7 linked regions of the Sus scrofa genome follow. The protein of the gene in region 3 interacts with the protein of the main gene of each other region in a pairwise test. Links are inferred from orthologs where the notes say so. Each region holds a gene or a part of one and is shown on either strand. Other genes may lie near its edges.

Region 1 (3,603 bases), on a different chromosome or scaffold from region 3:
GCTTTGGAGAAGAGCAGGGGGTCGGGCAAGATGAAGAGGGATTTTGAGGCTGAGCAGGAAGAGGCACTTAGATGCAAGGACTCAGGTCCATGATGGCAAATGGGCTTTCTCTGATGGGCCAGTTCCCAACCAAGGGGTGCCGAGCTGTAAAGCCAAGTCAGAGCTCCACGGAAGGAGTGACAGGACTGATGAGTGTGTCTACCACGGGCAAAAAAATGAGGTAGAAACAGAGGTGGGGTGTGTGGCAGCCCTGCATGAGGTTGGGGTTGGGTTTCCTGGATCAGAGCAGGTGGCATCTGAGCTGGGCTGATGTCATAATGGGGAGGCCTGCAGCAAACAGCAAGTGTCAGTAGAACACCCCGTTTCGAAGACAGAGACGACTCTTTACCCAAATGGCCACCATTCTTGCCATGTTCGATAACGGGGTTTTACAGTATCAGAGCCGCAAAGGATCCCCACCCCCCTGCCCTTTACCTGCTCCTCCTCATCTGAGGTTCTGGCCTGAAGCAGCTGGAGGATGCGGGAGGCTGTGAGCCCGCCGTTGGAATCGATGTACAGGACCTTCTGCTGCAGGCTGTGGGCCACGTTCGCAGCCACACAGAGACACACCTGAGTAGAGACGGGGCACCAGGTGAACTTGAACCCTCAAGGAATGCCCAGAAAGGGAGCTTCCAAACACCAAATTGTGCCCAGATCCCAGAGACACCAATGGGCCAAGTTCGAAGCCCACCCCTCACCACCCGTCTTCTCCCTTCCCAGCTCTGAACCACGAGCACACGGCAGAAGCGGCCCCAGGGATCCAGGGCTAGGCACCCCCTCCTCCAACCCTCCCGGCTGCCAGCCACGCGTGTACCTGGGTTTTGCCGCTACCTGGGCCTCCTACGATTTCAGTCACTTCTCCAGTATAAAGACCGGCATCGAGCAGTTTGTCCAGGCTGGCGGCAGAGGAAGAGGGAAAATAATCAATCAAGGGGACTGGTGGGAAGGGAGGGGGGTTGGAACCAGGAAGAAAAGCTGCACGTTCCCTCCAAGCACTGTTCTGTCCAGAGACCGTCTAACATTCTGGCCAGGAGGCTTCTCCGGGTGGGGTTTCCTTCAGGGAAGGGGGGCACGGCTAAATGCTCCTCCTCTGGCCCCTCATCCCTTCACTCCCGGCTTCAGGGTCACCTCTGGGTGATCACCCGTCCACGGAGGCCTTTGCCGCCCCATCCAAAGGTCTCCTCTCATTCTCCATCTCAGCCCTTTGCATGAGCACTTCCCCTAATTTGTCATTAAAAACAAACAAACAAAAACTCTGAAATAATTACAGATTCACAAGAAGTTGCAAAAAACAATGTATGAGAGAGTTGCTGTCGTGGCTCAGTGGTTAACGAATCCGACTAGGAACCATGAGGTTGCAGGTTCCATCTCTGCCCTTGCTCAGTGGGTTAACGATCCGGGATCCGGTGTTGCTGTGAGCTGTGGTGTAGGTCGCAGACGCGGCTCGGACCCTGCGTTGCTGTGGCTCTGGTGTAGGCCAATGGCTACAGCTCTGATTTGACCCCTAGCCTGGGAACCTCCATATGCCGCAGGGGCGGCCCAAGAAATGGCAAAAAAGGACAAAAAAAAAACCCCAAAACAATGTATGGGGAGGTCCCCTGTATCCCTCCCCTCATTTCCCCCAATGGCAGCATCTTTCACCCTAAGACGTACTGTGCTGCAGTACAACCTCACAAACTGACACTGGAGCCATCGCCGGCCTTATTCAGATCCACCAGTACTTCCACATGTGTCTGTGTGTATAGATCTAGCCATTTCTTCACATGCCTGGGTTTATGTAATGGTCAGAAATAAGACACCGAACAGGAGTTCCCGTCGTAGCACAGTAGAAACAAATCCGACTGGGAACCCTGAGGTTGCCGGTTCGATCCCTGGCCTCGCTCAGTGGGTTAAGGATCCAGTGTTGCCGTGAGCTGCAGTGTACGCTGCAGACATGGCTCGATCTGCGGCTGTGGCGTAGGCTGGCAGCTACAGCTCTGATTCGATCCCAAGCCTGGGAACCTCCATATGCTGCGGGTGCGGCCCTAAAAAGACCAAAAAAAAAAAAGAATCAGTCGCATTCTTGACCATGAGGATCAGTCTGCATAAGAAATTCCTAAATCCACCTCCCAGCTGACTTCTCACCTGTTTACATTCCACGTCTCTTACCACCTAAAGGACCCCCCCCTTTTTTCTACCTTTTGTCTTTTTAGGGTGGCACTCGCGGCATATGGAGGTTCCCAGGCTAGGGGTTGAATCGGAGCTATAGCTGCTGGCCTGCACCACAGCCACAGCAACTTGGGATCTGAGCCTCATCTGCGATCTACACCACAGCTCACGGCAACGCCAGATCCTTAACCCACTGAGCAAGGCCAGAGATTGAACCTGGGTCTTCATGGACACTGGTCGGGTTCGTTAACCACTGAGCCATGACAAGAACTCCTCATCTGTTTTGTTTTGGCCTCATTCTAGGCACAAGGAAGTTCCCCAGCCCAGAATCAAGCCCATACCCACAGGGTGACAACGGCACAGCAGGGACAATGGCAGATCCTTAACCCACTGAGCCACCAGGAAACTCCAGCACCACCTGTTCTGAACACAAAGGATTTCTAGGATTTATCCCCCACCTTTCCCTCTGAACTGGCTTTCAGTCATTCATTCAAACAGCACATTTCCTGAAGGCCTTTTACAAGGCAGAGGCACAGATGAATAAGACATAGCTCTGGCCTTCAAGGAACAACCCACCTCCCCCAGTCAACGCAGCTCTTCCCAGCCACGGTGCGTAGTCCCTTGTCCTTGTAAAGATCCATGGCGCCCACCGGCACTAAAGGCTATGAGAAAGCCCGCAATAGAGAAACCCGCTTAATTTGGGTCAACTAGCATTTCCCACGCTATTGACTCCCCTCCCACAGTAAAGTCACAACCACCCAGTGTCCACAGAACACTTCGAGGAAGGCTAGAAACCTAGTGAGTCATTTTTTTTCTTTTTAGGGCCGCACCTGCAGCATATGGAGGTTCCCAGGCTAGGGGTCTAATCGGAGCTACTGCTGCCGGCCTACACCACAGCCACAGCAACTCGGGATCCAAGCTGTGTCTGTGACCTTTATCACAGCTCACGGCAATGCCAGATCCTTAACCCACTGAGCGAGGCCAGGGATCGAACCCACATCCTCATGGATCCCAGTCAGGTTCATTAACTGCTAAGCCATGAAGGGACCTCCTGGCGGGTCATCTCTCTATCCCCCCGGGTGGGCAGGCTTATCACATTTCTTCAACATGCCTCCTGCTGTCACCAGCCCTAAACCAGCTCACATGCCCTCCCCTGCCACATCCTCCCGGGGCTCTCTGCTGCCAGCCTCCCTGGCCCCATCCACCGGAGTACCTCGACGCCACGCCTGTACGTCCACTTGCGCAAGAAAGCCTCCCACCCGGAGGGGGGGCAACAGGGCAGACGTGTTATTTAGAGTTGTGTTCTTAGACTTAGGAATGTGACAGGCATGACTTCAAGGGCCTGGTCTGCCACCTACTAGCTGGGGGATCTTGAGCAAGTCACTACCTGTCCCGCTTTTCTCATCTACAGGATGG
Region 2 (4,069 bases), on a different chromosome or scaffold from region 3:
GTTATGGTTTTAGATTTTGATATATTTTTTGTTTTTAAATATGCAACTGAAAGATGTCTAATTAGAATTTTATCTTTTTGACACATATTTAGGTAGGATTAAATTTGTCTTTATGATACACTTTAAAGTTGAAAACCTTCCTACTCACTTTTTTCAATTGTAAATCAAATTTGATTGTTTTGATAGTGTTCCAGTATTTTATGTTCCTCTCTATAAGAAAAATTCAAAAGGGAAGCATATTTTCATGTTTAGGCTGAACAATTTTTCTTTTATTTTTAATATCTACCACTGCTTTCCCTTTTGTAGTTAAAATAATGTAAGCTGTCTTCCCAGAACAATTTTGAACAACTTCTCCTGGTAAAGAGCTTGTGAAAAATGGTAATGTATTCTTTAATATTGAAGAAAAAGAAGTGAATAGAGCAACCCATTGAAGAATGTACTGATATACCTGTGAGCATACAAACTATCTCAGAGGCATCAGGACATAACCTGTTCTACTGATCAATATTTATTTACAGCAAAAGGAAACATTTTGCCATCTTTATAATTTAAGATGTAACTTAAAACTATAAAAGGGGTAATTTACTTTCAAATATATTTATTAATTATGCTACTTAATATATTTCTTCTTGCATAATTTTTGTATCAGATTAGCAAAAACATAGAATAATTAGCTTTGATTATTTTAATATTCTATTAACTGTGTACTAACTGCCCCACTGTGACTCTCTCTGTCTTCCAAGACTTTTTACATTCTTAGGTCCATCAAGAGATCCATTTGATGGGACTGTGCTTTGCAGCCACTAGGATAATTTTCCTCCATATACTGTGTTTATTTAAAAACCCTGGAGATATTTAATCTTCACCGTGTTTTCAAATAAAATTAATTTTTTACTCATGTTCTGTGCAGTTTCAGTAGAAAGACATTTTTAAAAGTTCCCGCCTCTTTCTTAAAGTCTTGGGGGCATGTGTGTGTAAAGTCCATTTCTTTCAAGTCCTTCTTCCTTCACGAAAACAATATTTGAAAGATTTAAACTGTCACAACACCAAACAGATAGGAGAACAACCGTGACTAAAAGGTTTTCCTCTGAGAGTTCTGCATTATCTAATCTTAATGAGGAAGCAAAGCTTAGAAATTGATAGCTAAAGTGCTTAAGAATAAAACATTAAAGAGCAATTTTTTAAAAAGTTAGCAGTTAAAATGAGGCCTAAGGTTTTATCCTCGGCAGGAAGTATTCAGTTGACAAAGAACTTACTAAGCATCTTCAGTCTCCTTCCCCTCCCCCCTCACAATCTAGGTGAAGATGCTTAAACTCAGTGGAAAAAGATGGTCAAGGAGTCAGGGACCTTGATTGATGAGGCATGTAGAACAGTGCCTGTCTCTTCTGTTGTTCCACAGTTCCCTCTGATGCCTTTGTTTCAGGTTCCTTTAGCAGGAGGAATTGAGTTTAATACTAAATTTCCCATGTTTAAGAATTATTATTTCTTACAAATTCATGCCTCATTTATCTCATTAATATTGGGAAATTGTACAGTGGTTTCAAATTTCAATGGAAAAATTATCCTGGAAGCCTATGATGTACTAGTGTAGACTTGGTAGAGAGAGAGAAAAGCAAGCTGAGAGACAGAGAGTGAAAAGCAAAGGAGAAAATTAGAGAAATTTTTCCCTTTTATTTTCTGGGCTCTAAAAATATATTACAAATCTGATTTTTTAAAAATAGCCTCAAAAATTTTAGGAAAGCATTTCTAAAAATAGTCTGTGTTAAGACTGACCCATCCTGCATATACTTATTTGTCACCCATAACGTTAAGCTCCTGTGTGGGCTGGCTATGGGAGCAGGTCCTTGGATGCTTTGCCATTTAAAAAAGTTCTTTCAGAGTTTCTTTAACAAGGCATTGCCCGAGATTCCCAAGAAGAATGAAGTCTCTTAGAATGTCACAGCAGAAAGTTTTTTGTGGCTAAGCCAGAAATTTAATGTTGCTAAATTAATTAAAATAAATCATCACTGTGCTCATAGTTATCTGGTCTGTCTTTGTCCACTGCTGGATTTTAAAATGAAGCTTCCTTGGATGTCAATCTGATGGCTTACAACTAAATTTTACCTAGGGAAGTTTTTTTTCCAATCTCTTTTGGAAAATTTGACTATTTAAGTAAAACAACCCAGTGACTTCATATTTAGAAATACATCATTTTAGAACTTTTATGCTTCCCATCAACAGGATTACATAATACCGTGAAGAATACAAGCAAGGCTCTCCACTACTGTGACACACTCTGCCTGGCACCTTGCACTGATCATTGCTTAATTAAGATTGTTGAACCCTGAAATATAGCCTAAGAGGACAAACACAGTAAGATTATTCTTGTGAGTACTTAAATTTAGTTAGTATTTACAGGATTGTTAGGAATAGTTAAGTGTATACGATAACACCATATGGTTAAATGTGTCATTTTAAAAGCTTACTTTATCTGACATGGACAAAGGGGATAACTCATGAAAGCTATAAAAATTTTACAGGAGAACATCACACATTATTACATTTTATAAATTCTATCTCATTTCCCACCTGGAATACATGCACCCAGATCTTACTTGCTAATATTAGCGAACTCAAAAATCACACATGCCGTCTTAATACAAAAACTTCAGGCATTTTAAAAAGAAATACGTTATAGCAAACTCTAGCAAGTAAGCGAAACGAAAGTAGAGGCACAAGGCATCCGTTACTCACCATGCTCTATACTGAAAGTTCCGCTCAGATCTAGGTAAGCGTACTACAAGGTCTAATAAAGATGTGGAGAGGTTGTCTTTATGACAACCTTTGAATCAAACAGTAACTAAGTGGTTTAAGTAGAAACATATATTTTGAAAGGTTAATCCACCCATACACAGGGAAACCCCTTTTTTAAGAAAGTCACTCTGCTGCCAAGAGGCTATTAATATTCACCTTTCGGATACAAATACAGCCTACAGATAACAAGATTCACAACCTATGTAAAAAAATACCACAGAGGATTCCCTCTTAGTCTCTATGTTGTAATGGAAACACAAGAAAACAATATACCTCTTCAGGCACTTGAAGGTACTACAGGAAATCCACCTGCCCACTTAATGGAAAAGTTATATCAGCTTAATAGGGCCACAACACATAAACATAAATGTAGAATTAGTATAATTTACTGTAAAGACCACATAGGTCACACACTCATTTCTAGGAATGTTCCCCTGTTTCATCTTCCTATTTCTTTCCCTGAGAGAGCTAGCACCCCGGTTAACATTTAACCACTCTTTAAAATAGTTTAGAAATAAGCCCACTCTCTTATAAAAAAATAAAATAAAAAGGAGTTGCTGAGTGTTTTCCTACAGGGGAAATTGTATTGCTTCACTGGCATTATAAGATAGGAATTATGCATATTTTTTCTCATTCCACTGGACGATAGTCTGTATAATTATTGGCAGGGGCAAACCTCTCCAAAATAGTAAAAAAAATATACCATCTCATAAATGAAATCATTGTGGATGAAATACCCAAGAGTAATAATTAGTGGTTATTTATGCCATTTGATTATACTGGATATTCATTTTTTCTGGTGGACATGGTGAGATTAAGTAAACAGCCAATAGTATGTGATCAACACTCTTGAGAAGATAGATTATATCAGAGTTTGTTGTTATTGCATTTCAACTCTCATCAGAAGAGGCATTGTACTTCAGAAACACAGATTGACACAGTGAGAAGATTCCACTTCTATAATTTCACTCCACAAACACACACTGGAAACTCAGTGACTCCCAAAAAGAACTTCAAAGGTATCTTCTTTTAATGACAAAAATGTCATAAATATCCATGCTGAGTGATGAGGTCATGAGAGTTTATGATTTTTTTTTTGCTTTGTCTATAACTTCAAATTTTTTCCACAAGAAAAAAAGTCCAGAGTGCAATGTAGTTTGTACATACAATCAGTATAAAAAATCTAAACAGAAATTAGGGGGTAAATAATCAGTCTTTAATCTGATTTATTAATGTAAACATATTTGATGTGAAAATACCACTATGATTGTTTTAA
Region 3 (4,297 bases):
CGGGACTCAGGCTCCCTCCTTCCGAGGGCCAGTGTCTGGGGTCTCGGTCGGCTCAGGATTAGGCGGCGGCGGCGGCAGGTCACCCTCTACCCCTACCCGGGCCCCGGGGCCAGCGGCAGCTGGTCATTGTTCGAGCACAAAGGGCCAGGCGCCGAGGCGGCCGCCCTTCCCCCTTCTCTTGTCTCGTCGATGCCTCTTCCCCCAGACACACTCTCCAGCTTCGGAGTCCAGAGGGGGCGGCGGAGGGTCAGTTGCCCCCGATTCGGGGCCCTGCGCCCCAGCACAAGTCGGGGGCCAAGGCTTGGTGGGTGTCTGCCCCACCCGCAGCCGGTTGGAGGAGGCACGCTTGGATTTGTGGAGGTGGCGCCACCTGGCGGCCCATTCGGAGAACACACTCGGTCACCGCCAACCTTGGGGGACCTTACCCTAGAAAGCCTAGGCCTTTCCCCAGCGCGGCTCAGTGCTCCCCAGCCTTCCCTCAGAGTCATTTCCTAAGAGAGAGGCCACTGATCCGAGAGAAGCAGCCCCTGGGCCCAACAGTCACTGAGGTGAGCCCATCCAAGCCTACAGGCCAAACCTACACAGCCGCGTAGCACACAACATCCCACTGTCTTCTCAGGGTCACGGATATTCTCAGCTCGGCAAACAAAACAGTCTTAACACCCACACGACCTTTCCCACAGTCTCACACAGCCACAATCATACAGTCTTTTTCATCACGAGGTTCCATGTCTCTTCTTCCCATAATCTTTCAGGCCAACACACAGAGACATTCGTTTCACATGCCTAGTTGTACACAGGCTTTCACAGCTCGAAGTCCTTCGCACCCAGTCACAATCTTAAATACACTTAGTCTCCTAAGCATTTTTCACACACTGACAGTCTTATTCACAGTCAAAAAACGTCTTCTTACATGTACACAACGTATTTCACAAACATTTTATCACACAGACTTTCCCGTAGGGTCTCTGTGACCCAGTCAGGTCAGCTGATGCCCACACGGCTGTACAAGGACAGCCTCCAGGCCCCTAACTCCGCCCCATCCAGGGCCAAGGCCTGCCACAGCTCCTCTACCCCAGGAAGGAGCATCTCCCCCCCTTCCAGGCCACAGCCCTGGCAGGCTCTCAGCTCTATTTTTAGCTCTATGGAAAGGATTGTTTTTCTTTCTTTTTCCCTGGAAAGGGAAACAGCTCAGCCACCCGCAGGCTCACCCTAGACCCTCTGCTCACAAGAACAGACTGAGTCCCACTCCGGTAGAGACCCCCCCCCCCTCTTCTGGCCTTGCCCTGATCCCAGCCTCCTGGGGCACTAGGAGCCGCCTCCCCTTTCTGGCAGCCAGCCCAGAAGCTCAGGCAGCAGCTGGGCTCAGCGTGCGTGTAGGGGTGGGGGGTGGGGTGAGGAAGGAGGCCGAGGGCCGATGCCCACTTTCATGCCCTGGGGGGAGGGGGCTGTCTTCCCTTCTACGGGAGGGAGACAGGCCCTCTCTGGTGTTGAGATGTGCACGCTCCTGCATTCTCTGGGGAAGGGGGACTCCCACTCTTGCATGCGTGGGCTTTCTGTTCCTACATTGCAAGGAGGAGCTCCTAGCTCTGCAGGGAGGGGTGGTAGTAGGAAGGGCACCCACAGGCGCTGCCGTAGCTGCTCCCTTGGCTGCTATACGCTGCCATCCAGAATATCGCCCCCACGCCCCCAATATCTTCAGGGATGGGGCACCATGTTGGGGAGAAGGAAGGGCGAAGAGCCCAGGTAACCCCAGGCCAGACCAACAGCCTCCTGTTCTCCTTCGCTAACCCGACTCCAGGGGGCGTTGTGTTCTCCTTCCGGGGGAGGTGGAGAATGGACTACAGCCCGGCCAGGTACCTTGCAAGCCCGTCCTGCACCGGGGCGGGCGGTTCCCGCCCTGAGGCCCGGGTGGGGGGAGCACAGCCCACAGGTCTGCGCTACGATCACGTGCTCGGCTCCTGTTTACGTCTTAGTCTTCACCTGCGGGCTGCCGGAAAGCAGGAACCTCTGGAGTTGTCCCACCCGGCCCGCCCCCGTCGGCGGTCCCTGGGTCTTTCCTCCCACCCCTGTCAAGTACGCGGCAGCAGCGCGCCTTGCCCGCTGGGGGTCCCGCGGGCCAGTGGCGTTGTTCCAGGGACGGCAGGCACAGCTCACTGGGCGCGTCCTCTTTAGGGTGCACGTGTGTTCGTCTGTCTCAGGTGCGCGCGTGGGTCTGTGTGTACGCGTGTTTGGACCCGTGAGTGTGAGGTTCCGTGTAGGTTCCCTGTTCACACTCTTCGCTTGTGCCTCCTGCACTGGGGACTCCCCTCCTCACTCCAACCCCCAACCTTCCAAGACCGGTAAAGTTCGCTCCGGCGCGGGGCTGTGCAGGAGCTAGAGTTCCGACACCTCCGCGGCCCCACCACGCACTCACCTAGGGCCACCTGCGCCGCCGCTCCAGCTCCCCTCCCGGCTCCTGCTCCAGCGCCAGCACCTCCTCGCCGCAGATCGGCCGGCTCCCAAGCCCGCTCCGGGCTGCGGACTCCCAGCGCCCGTCCGGCCGGGCCTGGAGGAGCGGGGCGGGGCGGCTGAGGCCGCGCCCCCGACCCCGACAGGGGAGTGGTCTGCGCAGCACCCCCTCAACAACCGACCCAGTGCCCAGCCCAGATGTGGCTCGATGGTGGCCCAGGACTGCTCCTCTGGCCTCTGACTTCACACCTTACAGCATTTGTCTTTCAGCTCGGGGAAGGGGCCAGTGGCACGTGACAGCTAAGCTGGCTGGCTGTCCTAACCAAGTCGGCTGTAGGGCTTTACAGCCACCTTCCTCAGCGCTTTAGGGAGCCCATCCTGGTCCATGCTCAGCCCAGTCCCCAGATGGGGAAAACCCCTGGGAAGCAGACAAAGAAGGCTCGGGTTTCACCAAAACAGACCCCGCCTTCCTCACACACACACACCTCGGCGTTGGGGCTGCCCTTGAGGACCAGCACCTCCCCCTCCCCGAGTAGGTGTCGGCCCAGGTGAGCCGGCCTGCCGGTTTGGGCCCCCACAGAGTATGGCCACGCTTCTCCTAGACTCGTAAAAGTTCCACCCACAGGCACAAACAGGAAGTTGACCTGTACTGCAGGGAGGAACCAAGGGCTCCCTCCCTCCATGGCACCCAAAGTGGCCTTTGTGAGGGCAGACTGTGCTGTCTACAGGTATCTGGGCTGTATTTGCAGCCTGAGCCCTGGGTAGCCGGAGTCTTGTGAGTTTAGTCCCTTCTCAAATGCAAGATGGAGAACCAAAGCTGCCCCCACACAGCTAAGTGTGACAATGAGTCTGAAGACAGCAGACAGCGCTGCAGATCCAGGGACCCTGTTCTGTCAGGCTCTTCCTCAGCTCTCAGGAAGGTTCTAAATGTCCAACTGGGCACATGGAATGCTGGTTCTAGCCCAGGTGATTTGCCTCAATCCACTTTGGCTGAGTACAGGGACAGGGAGTCCCAGGGACCTTACCCAGGAACTAGGGATTACCTGCCACTTTCTAGGCTGCAGTTACTCCGGAACATACTTCTGGCTAATTCTGATGCTAGGAGCTTAAGACAGGTGTGGAATGGAATGTGCTTGTGTACGGGGTGGGGCTGGGGGAGAATTAGCTTCCCCTCCCCCGAGCTGGTTTGTGCAGTGTGGTGGTGTCTGCTAGGAGGGTGGGGCAAGCCGGGCAAGTGTGTATCTATTCCTCTATAGCCAGTTCACACAGACACCTCGCAAAAGTTCCCTAATGGAAACTCCTAAAGTATTTCCTGAGAACACACCAGGCATTCTAGGGAGACCAGACCAACACCTTTCTAGGTAGCATTGATCTGGTGGGGTGCATCTGGAAGGCATGGCTGATGTTCAGTGTTGTAGCCCCTGGATGAGGCCTAGACCAGCCAGCGGCTGGGAATGATTACTGTGGGATTAGGAGAGCTGGCTCCAGCCAGTCTGGGAGAGACCCCCAAGAAGGGAGGCCCTGGAGGATCTCCCCCCTCCCCCCCAGGGAATGGCTTTGCTCCAGGGTCTGTTTCAGAAGACAACTGCAGTCACAGTTCTCACACACCACAGACCAGAGACCCCAGACCATCCATCCCACAGGGGTCCAGAGCCTCCTCTCAGGTTACAGGGAGACCTTGATAAGGCAGCCCTGCTTCCAGGGAGCAGGAAACCTCCCCCAACCCCCTCTACAAAAGGTTTCTCCCCAGCCCCTTTAAAACAGCTTGCATTCTCACCACTTCTGCAGGCAAATCTAAAAGGAAACGGGCACTTCGGGATATCAGAGGAAATGAAATGGAAAAGTG
Region 4 (4,188 bases), on a different chromosome or scaffold from region 3:
CGCACCTCCTGATGTACCCCGAAAATCCGAGCAAACAGCTGGAGGAGAGCATCTGCTGCAAGAACCCCCTGGCCCCCAAAGAGCTCTTCTTCTCAGCACCCTGCTGGGCGACGAAGGACAAAACTCCAAAACACAGCGGGCCAACCCCAACCCTGAGCGCAAGCCCCCCACCCCAGAGGCCGCAACCCCAGAGGCCGCAGGGGGAGGCAAGGCTTTACCTGCAGTTCTCCTGGAAACGGCACTTCCCCTCCAGGAAGAAGGGGCAGGGCTTCAGGGACTTGTGAGTGGGATACAGATAGAGCACTCTCACGCCCGGGGCGCCGTCCTCCGCCTGCTCTGTGCCCACGATCATGGCGTTGTGATACTCCAGGGTGCCCCACGGGCTGTAGTAGGGGGCGTTCACCTTCCTCCCACTCAGCTCGGCCGCGTCTTCCTCGTCCTCCCCCTCTTCCTCCTCTCCAGGCTCCGAGGGGTCTGGCCCTGCCTCGTCCTTAGGAACAGTCTCCAATTCGGCCCGGGGCGCTGCTGGCACCTCCACCACCTCGGCGATGGCCTTCTGGAAAGCCACGTACTCCGCATCTTCCGGGGCTGGGTGCTCTCCGTCCAGCGTGGCCAGCAGCTTGCTCTTCCTGACGGACACCAGGCTGGCCTCTGTGAGCTCGATCAGCTCCTTCAGGTCCCCCTGCAGCTGGCGCAGGTCCGCCAGCTCCGAGGGATCCAGGCCGGCGCCCAGGGCCAGTTCCACCTGCCGCAACTGCGCGTCATAAGTCCGGAGGGCGGCCTGCAGGCTCTCCTCGTCCATCCTGCCAGGAGGGGCTGGTTGTTCGGCCAGGCCGCGGGGTTGGGGTGGGTGTTCTGGGTCCTCCCAGGGGAGGCGTGGGGGCCACAGCTGCGGGGAAGAGAAGCCAAATGAGCCTGGGACGGGCCACCGCTGCGAGGCTGGCCCTGGGCGGACAGCCCGCGGAACCGTGAGCTGCCCCCCTCCCGTCTGGGCCAAGAGAGGTTTCCAGCTCCGATCCGGCGAGCCAGAGCCGGCTCTCGGCCTTGGCCCCACAGCCGCAGCTCCCTTCTCAGGCGCCCCGGGGCGCTGCCGTAGGCTCTTCCGAGGTCTCCGCGCCTCAGCCGGGTGCCCCGGCCCACGCCCCGCGCACCCCCGCCCCGGCTCAGCCCGTCACCTCGCCACGCCCCAGACCCTCTCGCTCCGGCCGGGCCCTCCTCCGCACGGTCTCCCGGCCGCCGCCACAGACGGCCCGGCGGCCTCGGCGGCCCCAGCGGCCCCGCGCCCCGCTTCCGCCCTCGCAGCCGACAGGCACTTCCGCCCTCGCGCCGCCACCGCCGGAAGTGCTTGGCGCGGGGGCCGCCGGGACGGTTCCGCCCCTCCCCGAGTGGCCGGCCCGCGTCCCGTCGGGCGTCGCGCGGGGTCACCGCGGGGTCGGCGCGGGGTCGGAGGGTCAGGCGCCGCAGCTCCGGTGCCCTGGCGGCTCCCCCACTCCGGCGTCTCCCCGGCTTCGCGGCCCGGGCGAGCGGGCGGGCGGGCGCAGGTAGGCCGGGGCGGGCGGGCGGAGCCGCACGGCCACTCGGGGCCGCCGCCCGCCCCCACGCGCCCTCCTCTGAGGGGCGCCTGCGGCCGTCTTGGCCCAGGGCCGTCGAGGAGACCTGGGCGGAGCGAAGCCCGGAGGGAGGCCGGACGTGGGAGCGAGGGTGCCGGCAGCGCCGGCCGGGTCGGGAGCAGCTGCGGAGGCGCCGGCGGCAGTGCCGGGCAGAGAGGAGGCGGGTCGGCAGGGCCCGGGGCTCCAGGTCTGAGCGGACAGCAGGCCGACAGACCCTTCTGCCGCTCGGGGAGGCGGGGTGCGGGTCGGATCGCCGGTGACCGATCGCTGGTCTCCGCGCAGGATGTACACGCTGCTGTCCGGCCTGTATAAGTACATGTTTCAAAAGGACGAGTACTGCATCCTGATCCTGGGTCTGGACAATGCCGGGAAAACGGTACGTGCCGTCAGCGCCCCGCGCCCCCCGCCCCGAACGTGGTACTTTTGGTATCACGCATTTAGCTGCGTGTTGTCCAAAGATCCCAGCCCCCTCTAAGACCGGGGGACGGCTGGCACCGGCTGCCTTGATAGCAAAACGGTGTGCTGTTTTGCTTTGTCTTAAAGGAATAGGCCCAAGGAGGGAAACTTGAGAAACAGGCCGGAAAACCATTCCAGCTCCTCTCTCCTGCCTCTCTCTCCCTCTCCCCGCAGACCTTCTTGGAGCAGTCAAAAACCCGCTTCAACAAGAACTACAAGGGGATGAGTCTGTCCAAAATCACCACCACCGTGGGTCTAAACAGTAAGGGGGTTTCTTGAGGGCTGCGGGCTTGGCGGGCAGACCCCTGAGGGTGCTGTGATGGCCACAGGCCTGCAGGCAGGCAGAGCACCAGAGAGCCCCTCCCCAGGAGGGCTGGGAGGTGGGGTGTCAGGGACCAAGGCCACAGCCTCTCCTGTTTTCTTCTCGCCCAGTCGGCACAGTGGACGTGGGCAAGGCTCGCCTCATGTTCTGGGACCTAGGGGGGCAGGAAGAGCTGCAGTCTTTGTGGGACAAGGTAAGAGGGGGGTGGCCACACAGGCTCCCGGCCTGCCTCTCGCACCGTCCCTCCCGGGCCACCTTGGTCTCTCCCTGCCTTTCCTGGGCTCACCTTCTCTCCTTGCGGTCAGCAGCTTGGCTCCTGAGCCGCCCTGTGCTGTCCCAGTGCCCAGGGCGCTGTCCCAAGAACAGGGACATGCTGGGTTCCAGGCTTAGCGATGTTATGGCTACTCACCACAGGACGAAACAGAGGATGGCCGAGGGGCAGACGTGGGGAAGACACAGCGCCAGTGTGGTGCTCGGCCTCAGCGCCGGGGCCTGAGTTGCCATGTGTTCCGGCTCAGGACCTGTGCTCCCGCAGGGGACGTGTCCTCCAAGGCCCACAGCAGCCACCTCCGCTTTTGATGGAGGTCTGAGTCCTTCCTCCGACCTCCACATGGGGCTCTCCTCCCCACACAGCCCAAGGCCAAGTCAGTGGGTCCAGCAGAGAGGACAGAATGGGCCTCTTCCCTCAGCCCCGCCCAGGGGACGCCCACCCAGGGTGTGGCGCAGCCCAGTGCTGGGGCGCAGACGCGCCCATCCCAACACTGGCTGGTGGCCGGGTGCTCAGGACCTGATTTCTGGTTTGACGCTCGCAGCAGGTGCCCAGTCACTTTTTCCTCGTCCCCCAAAGGTGTCCTCCCTAGCCTGCCTTCCATCCAAGTGGGCGGTTTCTGTCTCGTGGTCAGAACGTCACTGACAGGTCCTCTGAGGCCATTTAAGTGGGACAAAGGCAGAGTCAAGCCAGGGGCTGTTTGTTCAAGTCCTCGACCCACATGGGAGCAAAACTGGTCCTGAAGTTCCGTCACAGGCTGGAGTCTCCGGAGCAGAGGCTACCTTGGGGATTGGGGTGCAGGATATCCTGGGGATCAGCACCAGGGGGCGCTGGGGACTCGGGACTGGGCACGGCAGGGGCGTCTCGGGCAGCTGCCCCACGTCAGGCCACGCTGGCCAGGACTCCATTCCCTTGGCAGGTCCCCACAGTGGGCCACCCTGGGCAGCTGTGACAGGGTAAGGTGCATCAGAGTGGGTCCTGCAGGAGGTAACACGGGCCACGCACTGGGTGCAGTGCCCGCCATCAGGCAGTGAAGCCACAGCCCGTGGCAGGTGCACACTCCTTTCGCTCCTCCGCCTTGGGGGTGGCTTCTGCCAAGGAGAAGCTGGCTTGGTGGCTGGTTGTGACCCCCTTCTGTCCACTTCTTTTGGCCCGGTGGCCTCATCACGAGGGGCTGAGCCCTGATCGTCGAGCCTGCCGTCTCTGGTGGACCCTGAGTTTCTCATATGCTCCCCAACTTCTGAGTGCAGTGGGTGCCCTGCCTGCTGCCAGCAACAAGGTGTGGTCGCCCCTGGCCATGGATGGGGCTGCCTGACATGCCTGGGAGGCAGTGGGGGGGTTGCCACTTGGCTGGTGAGCGGGGGGCCACGGGGTGACCACACACCAGCCCCCACTGAGTCTCTGGGAGGGTGGAAAGCTGGGCTTCTGCTCCCACCCTGGCTCCCAGATGTAGTGTCCTGGGGCCTGCCCTGTCCCCACGCTGCCCAGCACCACTGCACCAGCATCATGTCGGGTGGCCGATTGTTCCCCTC
Region 5 (4,096 bases), on a different chromosome or scaffold from region 3:
GACTTCCAAAGGACTGCCTCACGGTCAGTGAAATTTAATCCACAGGCCTTCCCAATGCTCAGACCCTTCTACAACAAAAACGTGCTACTCCCATCTACCCCTGGAGCAGCAGACTTCAGGGTGGGATCTGCTGCAAGGATTGTCCTAAAGGCATCTATTCCCAGAGCTCCCAACTCCCTTCATACCATTCCTGAAGCTGCCTGCAAACCTGCCTGGAGTTGGGACCCAACCATCCTTCTCCCCACTTTGCAAAAGAAAGAGAACCCCCCTCCATCTCAGTAGGGTGCATAGCCCCAAGGGGGGTGGGTAGGGATGGGATTAAAACCTCCAGAGCAGCACGGAACAAAGGCCTAAACTGGAAAGACTGGTCCACAATTCTTATCTGAAACTCCTGGGGCCAGACATGTTTTTGGAATCCAAATTTCTTTTTTTGGATTTTACAAGCGTAGTTCTACATATAGCCCACACTTGCCCTAACACACCCCTGTTGTGGTCAGGGGAACCAAGCCATGATCAAACACATTAATACTTCTACAGCAAGAGCCTGAATTTTTCATATTAAAGGGTATAAAGATATAAGGTAGCAGCACTGATCAGGCCCTCCTTGGAGTCTAGTTTTGCCACTGAATGATTCCAAATTTGTCTTCAGGGCTTTCTGAATTTCGGAATTATGAATGAGAGATTGTGGAATGTTAGTACATTACAGGAAGCTTCCCTGAATGATTATTCTGGGTGCCTTAAACCCACAAGGTATGTTTTCGACTTTGTCTGGTCCATGCTTCTGTGAAGGGTGCAGCTCACCCAAAGGGCTGTGCTCTTAATTCAAGAACAGACACGACAATATAGATTAGTGACGACAATTATTTTGAATATCCCCGGAATGTTTTGGGGACTACCAGAATTTTCCCGGACATGCAGATTTTTTTTTTTTTAAGTTTAAAAAGGCTTCTTACAGTTCAAGGCATATTCTTAATGACTGTGCTTTAGAAGCCATTTTATCAAATCATTTCACAAGCCCTTATTCCAAATGTAGTCAGTCCTCATTCATTTTCACCTTTTAAAAATGTTTACTATTTCCGACCTCCCGTTAGAAAAATCAAATACTTACTCATGATGAAATACTCTATAGATGTCACACTACAAATGGCCAAGAGCTTTACGAAATTGTTACGTGTGCATTTCCCCCGCTCCCTTAAGCGGGCCTAATGGAGATTCGGCCTGTGCCCACGCTTCCTTTTCCCTCTGATGCTTCTCCCTTTCAAACCCTCAACTTGCATTTGAAACCCCGCTCAAGCGGTCCCAACTCACACCAGCTGCTGGCTCCGCACTGACCACAGGTGGACCCGCCTACCCTCAGAGGTCCCCCTCACACCTGTGGAACCCATCCTCCCCGCAGCTCTCCTCACCCAGAGGAGCCCGCCTTCCCCAACATACTGAGAGAGTCACCCCTCTTTCCCTGCGCACGGGGGGATCCAGCTCTCCCATTAGGGAAGCCCCTGCACCTCTTCCTGGAAGAGTCCTCTCTGCTGCAAGCCCTTCCCCCATCACGCTGCGAGGAGATACCCTCCCCCTGAAGAGTCCCCTGTCCCCCAACTCTGAAAAGGAGGTCCGTCCCCTTCCCTTCCCTCCCCTTCCGGCGTCTCGCGTGGACACCAAGCGGGTAACGGTCACCGGCAGCCAATTTTCCCGCGCGCGGGCGCGGCCTCCCCGACAAGTCCCCGCGCGTGCGCGCGCCGTCCTGTCGCGAACTGCGGCGCGCGCCCCCCTCCCGCGTCCCCACTTAGCCCCGTGCCCGCCGCGTTCCGAGGCACGCGCCCCCTCCCCTCAGCCCCGCCCAGCCCCGCGCGCCAGGCCCGCGCGCCCCGAGCCCCAGCCTTTCGGCGCCGAGCTTCCGGCTCCCGGCCCCGTGGCCTCGGACGCCGGGGCCCCGAGCCCGCGACGCCACCCCTCCAGCCCACCCGGCCCGGCCAGCGGGCCCGCGTCGCTGCCGCCACTGCTTCACCTTTTAAATTTTCCGCCATCTTTCCCCACGGCTAACGACATTCGGGCCTAACCGGCCTCGCGAGAAGAGAGCTCGCGCGGGCGTGGCCGAGAACGCGCAGCCTATTGGCCGCGCCGCGCCGCGAGCAGCGCCAGCGCGGACCAACCGGCGAGCCGTGACCGGACCCCTCCCCGCCACCCGGCTCGGTCCCGAAGGCGGGTGCTCGCCGGCGCTTTCCCAGAGTGCGTCTGGGCGGCGGCGGCGGCGACGGCTGTGGCTGCCGAGGTTGCCGGAGGCCCTGCCCGTACGCCGGTCTGTCTGTCACGCTATCAGCCAATCACGTTGTCAGCCAGCCGCACGGGGGGATTCTCCGTCTTGTCAGACCCCCAATTACGGCCGTCAGTCAGTCCGTCACCACATTTTTAACCCCAAGCAGGCCATGACTCCCCAGGTGGACTACCGCCACACACAGCTGCTCAGGCAGTCACCCGACTCAAATCAGACAATGGGTCATTCACCACGACCACCGCCTCATCAGACCCCTGCCCCCCATTCACGCTGTTAGTCTGTCAATAGCAGCATCCACTCGTGCCCTGGGGCCAGCTGCGAGACCCTCAAGGCAGACATACGGCGCTGACAGCAGCTACGCTGCACGCCCGCCGGCCTGTCATTCTCTTAGCCTGTCCTTTTGTCACACCGTCAGTCGGTCCAGCAGCCAGGCTCTTCATCTACCCTGGCCCTGGGAGCAGCTCCAAACCCCGAAGGAGGGGGGTGGCGGGGGGATCATTTCACCACCGACGGGGCCCTCGGGCTGCCTCTGATTATACCATGACAGGCTGTCATTGTCAGCATCTAATGTAGCCCTGTCGTGGTGCAGTCACTCTCTCCACTGTCAGTTGGTCACTCTGTAATTCCCTCGGGTTCCTCCCCATTCACACCACGGATCAGGCAATTATTTCCTCGTAGTCAGAGCAGCTAAAGCCTCCAGGCCACCCGTCAGTGGTCAGCAGTCTGTCACCTCTCAGGCGATGCATGCCCCCCATTGGTCGGTCAGTCAACATCCTCCCACCCCTGGGCCCTCTCAAGGCGGCCGTGATTCTATCCGACGACAGGCATGGGATCGGGCAGCTACGCTGATCTTTCAGTGGGCCAGCTGGCCTGTGACTCATTCAGTCTGCCCCTCATATCAGCCAGCCAGGTAGCCATTCTCAGCATCCGACTGGCCACATGATATGTCAGGCATGGTGTGATCTGGCCAGTGTGGACAGTCAGTCGCCAGATATGGCTTGCCTATCAGTTGGCAACAGATCGTCCATCAGTCAGCCTGAAATTCCCTTGGGGTAGATTTCCTTTACACATCGCCAGACAGCGTGACATCCAGACACTCCCTCGGGCCGGGTGTGATTCCTAGGAATAGTCAGCCATTCACAGTATCCCACCACCTAGGCAAGCAGCAACAACACGGGTCATCAATCAGCCAGCCTGTAAGTCCCCCAGGAGCCTGCCTGCCTTCTGCATTATCAGGTCACCAGCTCCAGCCAGTCCCAGGTGGGCTGTAATTCAGTTAGATTTTCAGTAGCTCACGGTGTCAGGAAACCGCACTGTCATTTCCTCAAATTGCCCCTCTCCCTGTCGGTCCATGAGTTATGTAGTCAACCAAATGGTTATACAGTTAACCAAACGGTTGTTCTGTGCCTGCCAGCCCAGCTGTGACCTGGTTGGAGAAATGGTTGATCAGGCTGAGCTTCCAGTAGCCCCTGCTTGCTGTGAAACAGCTAACAGTGGAGTCTCACCGTGGAGTCCCCCTCTCTCCCTTATTCTTTCTAGAACAGAGTCAGATGCTGACCTTCACATGCCCCCAGTCTCCCCAGGCACACGGGACCTTCCCACTCCCAGGAGTCAAGGAGGCCTGTCGAACCCACAAAAGTGGTTTAAGTCATGACCTTTTTCTTTCTTTCTTTCTTTCTTTCTTTTTTTTTTTTTTTTTGTCTTTTCTAGGGCCTCTCCTACAGCATATGGAGGTTCCCAGGCTAGGGGTCTAATCAGAGATGTAGACGCCAGCCTACGCCAGAGCTACAGCAACGCGGGATCTGAGCCACGTCTGCAACCTACACC
Region 6 (4,331 bases), on a different chromosome or scaffold from region 3:
CCTTGTCCGCCCCTCTCCTTCACAGCCAACTGGTTTACTGCTAGCAAAGATTAAATGACTTGATTGCAAGCAAAGAGTGGGCACGTTTAAATAAGCGCTACGGAAGTGTTAACAAGCTGGCACTGTAAAGTACAACGGGGGTCGCACCCCCTCCTCCGACAATGAGCTCGTCCAGCCACGCTCTTCCCTTTCTTCACCTTGCACGAGGGAGGAAAAACCTAGCTGCAGACCGTGGGGACGATCCGACACCCCCTCCTTGCCCACAGTGGGCTCACCCAAGCCCCGCCTCCATTCACCAAAGGGACCTGGGAAAAACCACGCGCGGTAACCCTGGGGATTTCCGCCTAGCAACACACCACCCCCCGGCTGGAATGGATTCGACCAACGTGTCTCTTTCCGTTAACAAGAGGGACCGGGGACAAGAGTCAAGGGAAACGTGGAGTGGTTCGTCCTGCACCGCACCAGCTCCTTCAAGCACACAGTTGTGGCCCCTCTTAACGGAGCCCAAGTAAGGAAACAAGTGGACGGGAGCGGAAGGAGACAACAAACGTTTAAAAGTCTCCCGAGTCTGGGACGTGGCGCTGTGTAGCCAGCGCCTCCCCCGCCCGCCTCCCACCGCTGGCCGTGGCGCCGCAGCAAGAGTCCCGAGGCCTGTGCCCCTCGCCGTACCAAGGCTCCCGAGCGTACTCCTCCATGGCGCCGGCGTCCGGCCGCGCAGTCTGGCTAAATCCCGGCCGGGCCACACCCCCACTGTAAACGCACACAGGCGCCCGAGCTTTCCACCTATTCCAAGGTAATGATTGGGTCCTTTCGCCAGACGTCAGGCCAAGGCGCACTCTCATTGGCCAGTTAGGTTTCCGTCATCTGTTCTCTGCAGCCCGAGCGTCGCCCAGTTACCTCTGGCTCAGGGAGAGAGGGCCTCATTCTTTCCCTCAGGAGAAAAAGAGTCGTGGTCCTGGCGATCATAAAGGCGTCGAGAGAGAGGCCGACAGTCTGACAGCCTTCCGCAACCCGCGTGACTGTATTGGTAATGTCGGGGTGGGCGCATTTTTTGGAGCTAGAGGAAACCCTGCTCCCCCCACCCCTGCTCCTTGGTTCCTTCCACCCGGCAGTCTTTGGGGGACGTTGGGTGAGCCCATTTCTGGGGCGCGGGGGAGCGGCGCTTGGCCCCTTCGGCGATGGGTGGAGCCTAGGCCTGGGAGAGGAGGCCTGGGAGAGGAGTCCTGTCCCGGAGCACCCCGCCTGGAGAGGAGAGTTGGCGAGAATTTCGGTGATACTGCCGTTTATCCCTTCCACCTTTTAGCGGGTAGGTTCTGTTGCCCAGCTCCTGGTGCAGGTGGGTAGGTGGGAGTCTAGATGAGTGCATGTTGGGGAGAGGCGCTTGCTTACGAGCTCCAGATTCAAATCCTTATCTGAACTGCTTTCTCGTCTGTCCTTCCCTAGGTCTGTCTGCTACCCGCTATGCCGCTGCCCGTTGCGTTGCAGACCCGCTTGGCCAAGAGAGGCATCCTCAAACATCTCGAGCCCGGTGAGAGAGCTAAGAGCAGATGGGCCTACCATGTGCCAGGCTTGACAGGCACTTTGTTGTTGATATTGCCACTCGATCCCTAGTATGGGCCTACTATATACCAAGCAGTGGGCTGGCAGACATTTTGTTGTAAACAATACGTATTCCTGACGCCGATTCCTACCGCGTGCGCGCGGACGCCTACGGTGGGGGTGGGGCAGGGAATAGACATTTCAGCTTTAGTCGTACCTAATACTGACAGCTGATGCTTATCTTGGATCTTCATACGCCAGATTTAATCCAATCGATCCCTGGAAGAGTATCTAAGGATATTAATAGTAAACTGACATCTATTACAGCCTCTTTTGGACCAAATACAGTGGGAGGAGGCTGATATTTTGTTCTTTACCATACTAGTAGGTAACATTTTTTTCAGATCTACTGTAGAGCCAGGTACTGTTCAGGCGATATATACCGACTTGTTCACCAGTTCAATAACTGACATGTATTTCGGGTCTGCTTAAGTGGCTGGCATATGCATTATGGTTTACAGTATGTAAAATAATGGTAGGGGAGTTCCTGTCGTGGCGCAGTGGTTAACGAGTCCGACTAGGAACCATGAGGTTGCGGGTTCGATCCCTGGCCTTGCTCAGTGGATTAAGGATCCAGCGTTGCCGTGAGCTGTGGTGTAGGTCGCAGACGCGGCTCGGATCTGGCGTTGCTGTGGCTCTGGCGTAGGCTGGCAGCTCAGCTCCGATTGGACCCTTAGCCTGGGAACTTCCATATGCCGCGGGAGCGGCCCAAGAAAAGGCAAAAAAACAAAAAACAAAACAAGGATAATGATAGGATCTGTCATTTTGGCCTGCTGTGCTGCCGTTGCCAGTATTTATACCTTACTGTCATTACAGTAAAAGTTGGCATCTATTTTGGGCTAAGGTGTGGCCGTGTACTGGAAAACTCATTTTCACTTTATTGACAGGTGACATCTATTACAGGTTTGTTGTGTGCCAAGCATAGATCTTTGGTTAATAATACGGATAATGGTCATTGATATTTATTTTAAGCTTACTGAATACCGGGCCTTGTGCCCGTGGTACGTTTCTTACTAACAACACTAATGATTATAGCTGATGATCTATTTTGGACCTATTGTGTGACAGGCACTATGTTATTGCTGAAATAGACATTTCATTGTTAGCTGTATACACAGTTGAAACCTGTGATCGGCCAACTGAGGTCCAGGTACTCATGTACCTTTTTTAAAATGTTTGGTCTTTTTATGGCCACACCCACGGCATATGAAAGTTCCCGGGCTAGGGGTCGAATCAGATCTGTAGCCGCTGGCCTATGCCACAGCCACAGCAATGCCAGATCCGAGCTGCATCTGTGACTTACACCACAGCTCACAGCAGTGCCAGATTCTTAACCCACTGAGCAGGGCCAGGGATCAAACCTTCGTCCTCGTGGATGCTAGTCGGGTTCGTTATTGCTGAGCCACAATGGGAACCCCCACTCATACACCTTTTTTATTCTGTTGATAGTAACTGAAAACAGTTGCAGGTCTCAGGAGCTGAATATATTCAGAGCAGTGTTTGGATAAATGCCTTGCTCTCCAAACTTGCTACTCAATATACTAGAATCAGAAACTCCCTATTTGCCAAGCTGGAGAACTGAATGAATTTGGACGTTTTTAGATAAAACCTTTGCTGTTCAAACTAATTTTGTCCAAATAGGTTTGGATAGCGGGGAGTTTCCGTCATGGCTCAGTAGTTAACAAACCTAGTTAGTATCTATGAGGACGCGGGTTCAACCCCTGGCCTCACTCAGTGGGTTAAGGATCTGGCATTGCCATGAGCTTCAGTGTAGGTCTCAGGTGGGGCTTGGATCCTGTGTCGCTGTGGCTGTGGCCTGGAGTGGCAACTACAGCTCCAATTTGACCCCTAGCCTGGGAACCTCCACATGCCACAGGTGTGGCCTTAAAAAGACAAAACGATACATAAAAATAGATTTGGGGAGTTCCCGTCATGGCGCAGTGGTTAACGAATCCGACTAGGAACCATGAGGTTGCGGGTTCCGTCCCTGCCCTTGCTCAGTGGGTTAACGATCCGGCGTTGCCGTGAGCTGTGGTGTAGGTTGCAGACGCGGCTCGGATCCCGCGTTGCTGTGGCTCTGGCGTAGGCCGGTGGCTAGCTATGGCTCTGATTGGACCCCTAGCCTGGGAACCTCCATATGCCGCGGGAGCGGCCCAAGAAATAGCAAAAAGACCAAAAAAAAAAAAAAAAAAAAAAAAGATTTGGATAGCAGGGTGTCACATACTGTCTGAACACAGGAACTAAACAAACATGGATACACGTTTTTTATTTAATTTTTATTTTTTTTAGGGCCACACCTGAAGCATATGGGGGTTCCCAGGCTAGGGGTCTAATCAGAGCTACAGCTGCCAGCCTACACCACAGCCACAGCAACGCCAGATCCAAGTGGCATCTGGGACCTACACCACACACAGCTCAGGGCAATGCCAGCTCCTTAACCACTGAGCGAGGCCAGGGATCGAACCTGCAACCTCATGGTTCCTAGTTGGATTCATTTCCTTGCGCCACAACAGGAACTCCGGATACACTTTTTTGTTTTTTTTGCTTTTTAGGGCCGTACCCGCGGCGTGTGGAGGTTCCCAGGCTAGGGGTCGAATCAGAGCTACAGCTGCCGGCCTACGCCACAGCCACAGCAACGCCAGATCCGAGGCATGTCTGTGACCTACACCACAGCTCACGGCAACACTGGATCCTTCACCCACTGCGCGAGGCCTGGGATCGAACCTGCAACC
Region 7 (4,256 bases), on a different chromosome or scaffold from region 3:
AATCTTATTTGGAAACCAAAAAAACTTGTGTGACTGCTTTATTATGATATTTGCTTCATTGCTCTGGTCTGGAACTGAACCTGCAGAGCCATCCATTCCTCCCCTTCAGAACCCATGGTTTCGGATTCCTGTACCCCCCTTACCCAGGCTCAAAGGTCCCCTCCTCTGGATCCTGATAACTCACACTTTGTCTCACGACATGTATCACGCTAGGATCTAAGAAGCCCCTAGCATGTCTGCCTTCTCCTGTGAGCCCTCAGCAGAGATCCTGTCTAATTGCTGGTCACTCTGTATCTCCCACACCTGCCCTAAGTGAATAAATGGGGTGAATAGATCTGTTAGCCAAAATGGTCAGTGCTTTCCTGAGCTGGAAAAGGCCACTCACTTGACTCCCTGCACCAAAGACTCCCCACGGCCCCTGAGCCACTGACCTTGTTCTTACGACCATCGATCTCAAAGAAGGAGATGGTGCCCTTTCGGTAAATCTCGTTGCCTGGAGGATGTCGCAGGTCACACTTGGTCTGAGAAGGAGAGGAGAATCAGGGGCAGGGCCAGGGCAGGGCAGGGGTGCTAGGAAGGCGGCCTCCTGGGACCCTTCCTACCAAGTGACGCTGCAGACACTTGAGGCTTCGGCCGTACTTGAGGCAGAACTCGCAGAGGTAGAGGACGGGCAGGGTGGTGAGCTCCTGCGGGTACGGGGAGAAGTACCACGGCTTGAGGCGGTGCCGGCCCAGCTCGATGCACTCAATGTTCTTCATCCGGGTGACGATGTCGTCGTGGCTGCGGTCAGACACCAGGCTCCCAGTCATGCGAGGAGCCGAGGGTATTCCGTCTGAGCTGTCCTGGGAGTCCTGCCCGGGGCCACGGAAAGACGCCAGGTTACAGGAGACAACTCAAGCAGGACACTCTCTGGCTCACAGCCCTCCCACGGGTTTCCTAGTGGGGAAGATACCATAACCCCTACTTTCCAGTTAAAGAAACCAAGACTTGGACAATTTTCATTGGAAACTGGAAAAGATGACCCAATGCTTGATCTGAACCAGTTCTGCCTCACTCCTAATCCCAACACCACCTCAACCCAGCACACTCTGTTCATCTTCCAACGAGTCACTGAACTCTCTGCCCTGCCTACGTCCACTCCTTTTTTTTTTTTTTTTTCCTAGCTACAACATGCAGTGGCTTGATGTGGGAATCTCAGTTTTCAAACCAGGAATTGAACCCAGGGGCACAGCAGTGAGCGCACACTGATTTCCAATTGCTACCCACCTAGGGAACCCCCTGTCCCCTACTTTTCACCCCGCTTCCCTCTTCCCCAGACCCACCTCGTCAGTGCCCAAGCAATTTGATTTTCGCTTCCGCCCTGGCTGAGCTGCCACTGCCCTACGGGCTGATCCATTCTGAAGGTGAGATGAAAGAAAAAGGAGTAGCTGTGAGATGCACCTGAAAGGGGCTACCAGAAGGTAGAAGGGGAGGGAAAAAGAGATGGTTTGGGGGACTCACCTGGGGAAAAACTGAGGCCGGGGCTGTCTCGCTGGGCACCGGAGTTGCTGGTGAAACCACCTCCACCTTCCGTTTCTGCAGAAGAGAAACCAAGAAAGGTGGGTCAGAAGGTAGGGAAGGTGGGACCTGAGAGGAAAGCAAGGTCCCTGGAATTGCTGAGGGTACCGTTGAGCGGTGGTTGGGCTGCAGGCAGGAGCTGGAGGAGAGCGGCTGGTCGGGCTCGCCACCGGGAATGGCCTCCCGCTCCTTGGGCAGGTTGAAGCGGAGTGTGATCTGGACCGGGATTGGCAAGGTCTTCCCGCTGGCCTGGGCGGAGGCCGGCTGTAGAGATAGGTCCAGGGTCTTCCTCTGGGGTGGGGATGGTGGTGGGATGGGGAAGGGGAGTAGGGGCCCCTCAGTGTGTAATGATCAAACCCCGCCCCTCTCAAGGACGCTGGACTCTGGAAGCTACATCTGCAATTTGGCCCCCATCCTTTGCGAGCTGAAGCCAGGGTGGGAGGGCACAGCCTCCTGCCCAGCTGGGAGCCACTGAGGCCAAGAGATGAGAGAAGTAGGAGGCAGGAGAGAAAAGTTGAAGCAGGGGACCTACTCACCACCTCTCTCTCTGGAGAGCCGGGGCGGGACCCAGGAAGTCCGTTCTTGGTGGGGGTCTTGGCCTCTTTCTTGGGGAACTGGATCTTCTTTAGGTCCAGCCGCTCATGAGTCACCCATTCATCCAGGCGTTTGTTGACTGCAGCAGTGGGGATGGCTCAGGAAGGAGTGCCAGAGGCTGCCCCCCGCAACCCTAGCCCCACCTCATCCCGGCCCAGAACTCACAGTCAATATAATGGACGTAAAAAAGCTTCCGGCCACTGATGTCCTTCACGCTCAGGATCTCGGCCAGGGCTGTGGGCACAGCACAGGGAACGGCCTTAGAGCGGCCAGGCCATGAGGCTCCGCCCTTCTACAACCTGAACTCCACCTCCAGGCCCGATCCCTGAGCCTCAGCACTTGGAAGCTCTCGCCCAAGCCCCCATTAGTCACCAAGTGTCATTCCCTTCTCCAAGCCCCGCCCTGTCCATCTCCAGCGGCTAAAAGCCACGCCCCTCGTGAATATCTGCGCCCCGCCCGCCCCAAGATTCTAGAGGCCCCTCCCCCTCCCTGGGGTTCGCTTGACTCCCCCCGCCCCTCGCCCTCAGGTTCCTTAGCCCCGCCCCCCGACGTCACTCACGCCACTCATCTTCGTTGTCCTGGTTCCGCCGCAGCACGGGCAGGCGGCAGCCCTCGATTATCTCCCCCTGGGGAGACAGCGCGGCGCCAGGGTCGGCTACTGGGGGGCCTCGGGCTCTACCCACCTCCCCTGGCTCCCTCCGCCCCGCCCCGGGCACCGGACTCACCACCTCCGCCATCTTCCCTCCCTCCACTGCCACTTCCGGCCCCTCTGGGAGACGTCACTTCCGGGACCGAGCACTTTGTAGGCCCAGGTCTCTCCAAACCGGCTTCAGGAGAGGACCCTGGAGAGACCCCGCAACCCAGCTTGCTCATGGAGCCGGCCCGTTTGGCTGGCGGGGGAATAGGGTACTGTAAGTCTCAAACCAGGTCTTCGGTGGAATCCCCACAACGTGCACAACGATTGGAGGAAAACTGAGTCCGTCACGTGACGCTCACCGGGTGCGACGCCGGTCACGTGGGACTGGTGTTTGCTTCGCCGGCGGCCGGGTTTGGGCGTCTCCTAGTGGCCGCAGGATGCGTCTCGGGGAGTGAACTGCGCGTGCCCGGCTGGGGGTTGGGGCGGGTCTTGAGGGTTTGAGGGGCTGGAGAAGTGGGTGGGACTTGAGGGACTTAAAACCCTCGCCAAGTTTGTGGCCCTAACTCCTTGGGGTTGGGAACTCACGGAAGGTTTGTAGGTTTGTTGTTTTGTATAGTAGGTTGCTAATTACAGGAGTAATACATCATTCATGCATACATTCAACAAATGTGTAGTAAATCACCTGCCACGTACCAGGCACTGTTCTAGGAGCCTGGAATACCTCAGTAAATAAAGAATTCCTTTTTTTTTTTTTTTTTTTTTTTTTTTGTCATTTTGCCATTTCCAGGGCCGCTTCTACGGCATATGGAGGTTCCCAGGCTAGGGGTCGATTCAGAGCTGTAGCCGCCGGCCTACACCAGAGCCACAGCAATTTGGGATCCGAGCCGCGTCTGCGACCTACACCACAGCTCAAGGCAACACTGGGTCCTTAAACCACTGAGCCAGGCCACGGATCGACCCTGCAACCTCATGGTTCCTGGTCAGATTCGTTAACCGCTGAGCCATGATGGGGACTCCCAAGGATTCCCTCCTTTTGTAGCTTACCTTCTTGGAGGTTGGGAGGGAAAAGAGGGGCATAGGTAACACCTGGTTAATAGCGTTAAAAAATAAATTATCTAGTCTATTAAATAATGATAAGTGTTTTGAGAAAGCCCCCTCAAAGAAGAAAAAAAGCACCAGGTGAAGGAAAGGGCCAGATAGGCAAAATGGCCAAATCCAACCCTCTGCTAGCTTTCCTACAGCAAATGTACTAAGAATGGGTTGGTTTGTTTGTTTGTTTGCTTTTTAAGGCCGCTCCCAGGTTTCTGAGGTTTCTCAAATTTGTATCTTCAGCCCAGATCTCCCTCGACTTTCTCTGCCTACTCGACACCCCCATTTGGATGTACCAGGGGCATGTCCTGAACTGAACTCCAGATCTGCCTTTCTGGTTTCTCCTCCCACCTTCTTTCTTCTCCCTCACTGATGAGCT

Evidence for each region.
Region 1: the proteins of LZTS2 (region 3) and RAD51D interact in binary tests that used the Homo sapiens proteins (3 or more experiments, as listed by UniProt). The two-hybrid records come from large-scale screens. The link is inferred for Sus scrofa from reciprocal best matches to the Homo sapiens genes LZTS2 and RAD51D.
Region 2: the proteins of LZTS2 (region 3) and TNIP3 interact in binary tests that used the Homo sapiens proteins (3 or more experiments, as listed by UniProt). The two-hybrid records come from large-scale screens. The link is inferred for Sus scrofa from reciprocal best matches to the Homo sapiens genes LZTS2 and TNIP3.
Region 4: the proteins of LZTS2 (region 3) and ZGPAT interact in binary tests that used the Homo sapiens proteins (3 or more experiments, as listed by UniProt). The two-hybrid records come from large-scale screens. The link is inferred for Sus scrofa from reciprocal best matches to the Homo sapiens genes LZTS2 and ZGPAT.
Region 5: the proteins of LZTS2 (region 3) and SUV39H1 interact in binary tests that used the Homo sapiens proteins (3 or more experiments, as listed by UniProt). The two-hybrid records come from large-scale screens. The link is inferred for Sus scrofa from reciprocal best matches to the Homo sapiens genes LZTS2 and SUV39H1.
Region 6: the proteins of LZTS2 (region 3) and PQBP1 interact in binary tests that used the Homo sapiens proteins (3 or more experiments, as listed by UniProt). The two-hybrid records come from large-scale screens. The link is inferred for Sus scrofa from reciprocal best matches to the Homo sapiens genes LZTS2 and PQBP1.
Region 7: the proteins of LZTS2 (region 3) and KAT5 interact in binary tests that used the Homo sapiens proteins (3 or more experiments, as listed by UniProt). The two-hybrid records come from large-scale screens. The link is inferred for Sus scrofa from reciprocal best matches to the Homo sapiens genes LZTS2 and KAT5.

The regions. Positions count from the first base shown.
Region 1 is NC_010454.4:40,057,090-40,060,692, reverse strand, and holds part of RAD51D (DNA repair protein RAD51 homolog 4), read right to left. Parts: intron 936-3,603; coding exon 854-935; intron 610-853; coding exon 475-609; intron 1-474. UniProt on the Homo sapiens protein: Involved in the homologous recombination repair (HRR) pathway of double-stranded DNA breaks arising during DNA replication or induced by DNA-damaging agents. Bind to single-stranded DNA (ssDNA) and has DNA-dependent ATPase activity.
Region 2 is NC_010450.4:102,891,261-102,895,329, reverse strand, and holds the start of TNIP3 (TNFAIP3-interacting protein 3), read right to left. Parts: upstream 2,904-4,069; 5' UTR 2,737-2,903; coding exon 2,734-2,736; intron 1-2,733. UniProt on the Homo sapiens protein: Binds to zinc finger protein TNFAIP3 and inhibits NF-kappa-B activation induced by tumor necrosis factor, Toll-like receptor 4 (TLR4), interleukin-1 and 12-O-tetradecanoylphorbol-13-acetate.
Region 3 is NC_010456.5:112,076,770-112,081,066, reverse strand, and holds the start of LZTS2 (leucine zipper putative tumor suppressor 2), read right to left. Parts: upstream 2,857-4,297; 5' UTR 2,417-2,856; intron 1,240-2,416; exon of another isoform or gene 97-1,239; intron 1-96. UniProt on the Homo sapiens protein: Negative regulator of katanin-mediated microtubule severing and release from the centrosome. Required for central spindle formation and the completion of cytokinesis.
Region 4 is NC_010459.5:62,639,693-62,643,880, reverse strand, and holds the start of ZGPAT (zinc finger CCCH-type with G patch domain-containing protein), read right to left. Parts: upstream 2,894-4,188; 5' UTR 2,798-2,893; intron 2,582-2,797; coding exon of another isoform or gene 2,499-2,581; intron 2,329-2,498; coding exon of another isoform or gene 2,241-2,328; exon of another isoform or gene 2,154-2,240; intron 1,987-2,153; coding exon of another isoform or gene 1,894-1,986; exon of another isoform or gene 1,855-1,893; intron 1,798-1,854; exon of another isoform or gene 1,576-1,797; intron 1,542-1,575; exon of another isoform or gene 1,396-1,541; intron 1,315-1,395; exon of another isoform or gene 1,176-1,314; intron 890-1,175; 5' UTR 803-889; coding exon 219-802; intron 1-218. Other genes in the region: ARFRP1 (ADP-ribosylation factor-related protein 1), read left to right, coding at 1,894-1,986, 2,241-2,328, 2,499-2,581. UniProt on the Homo sapiens protein: Transcription repressor that specifically binds the 5'-GGAG[GA]A[GA]A-3' consensus sequence. Represses transcription by recruiting the chromatin multiprotein complex NuRD to target promoters.
Region 5 is NC_010461.5:42,796,060-42,800,155, reverse strand, and holds the start of SUV39H1 (histone-lysine N-methyltransferase SUV39H1), read right to left. Parts: upstream 2,848-4,096; 5' UTR 2,022-2,847; coding exon 2,003-2,021; intron 1,604-2,002; exon of another isoform or gene 1,113-1,603; coding exon of another isoform or gene 1,109-1,112; intron 1-1,108. UniProt on the Homo sapiens protein: Histone methyltransferase that specifically trimethylates 'Lys-9' of histone H3 using monomethylated H3 'Lys-9' as substrate. Also weakly methylates histone H1 (in vitro).
Region 6 is NC_010461.5:42,975,204-42,979,534, forward strand, and holds the start of PQBP1 (polyglutamine-binding protein 1), read left to right. Parts: upstream 1-1,442; 5' UTR 1,443-1,461; coding exon 1,462-1,528; intron 1,529-4,331. Other genes in the region: TIMM17B (mitochondrial import inner membrane translocase subunit Tim17-B), read right to left, coding at 670-842. UniProt on the Homo sapiens protein: Intrinsically disordered protein that acts as a scaffold, and which is involved in different processes, such as pre-mRNA splicing, transcription regulation, innate immunity and neuron development.
Region 7 is NC_010444.4:6,569,317-6,573,572, forward strand, and holds the start of KAT5 (histone acetyltransferase KAT5), read right to left. Parts: upstream 2,904-4,256; 5' UTR 2,889-2,903; coding exon 2,711-2,888; intron 2,386-2,710; coding exon 2,317-2,385; intron 2,231-2,316; coding exon 2,094-2,230; intron 1,822-2,093; coding exon 1,666-1,821; intron 1,576-1,665; coding exon 1,501-1,575; intron 1,398-1,500; coding exon 1,323-1,397; intron 852-1,322; coding exon 603-851; intron 522-602; coding exon 432-521; intron 1-431. UniProt on the Homo sapiens protein: Catalytic subunit of the NuA4 histone acetyltransferase complex, a multiprotein complex involved in transcriptional activation of select genes principally by acetylation of nucleosomal histones H2A and H4.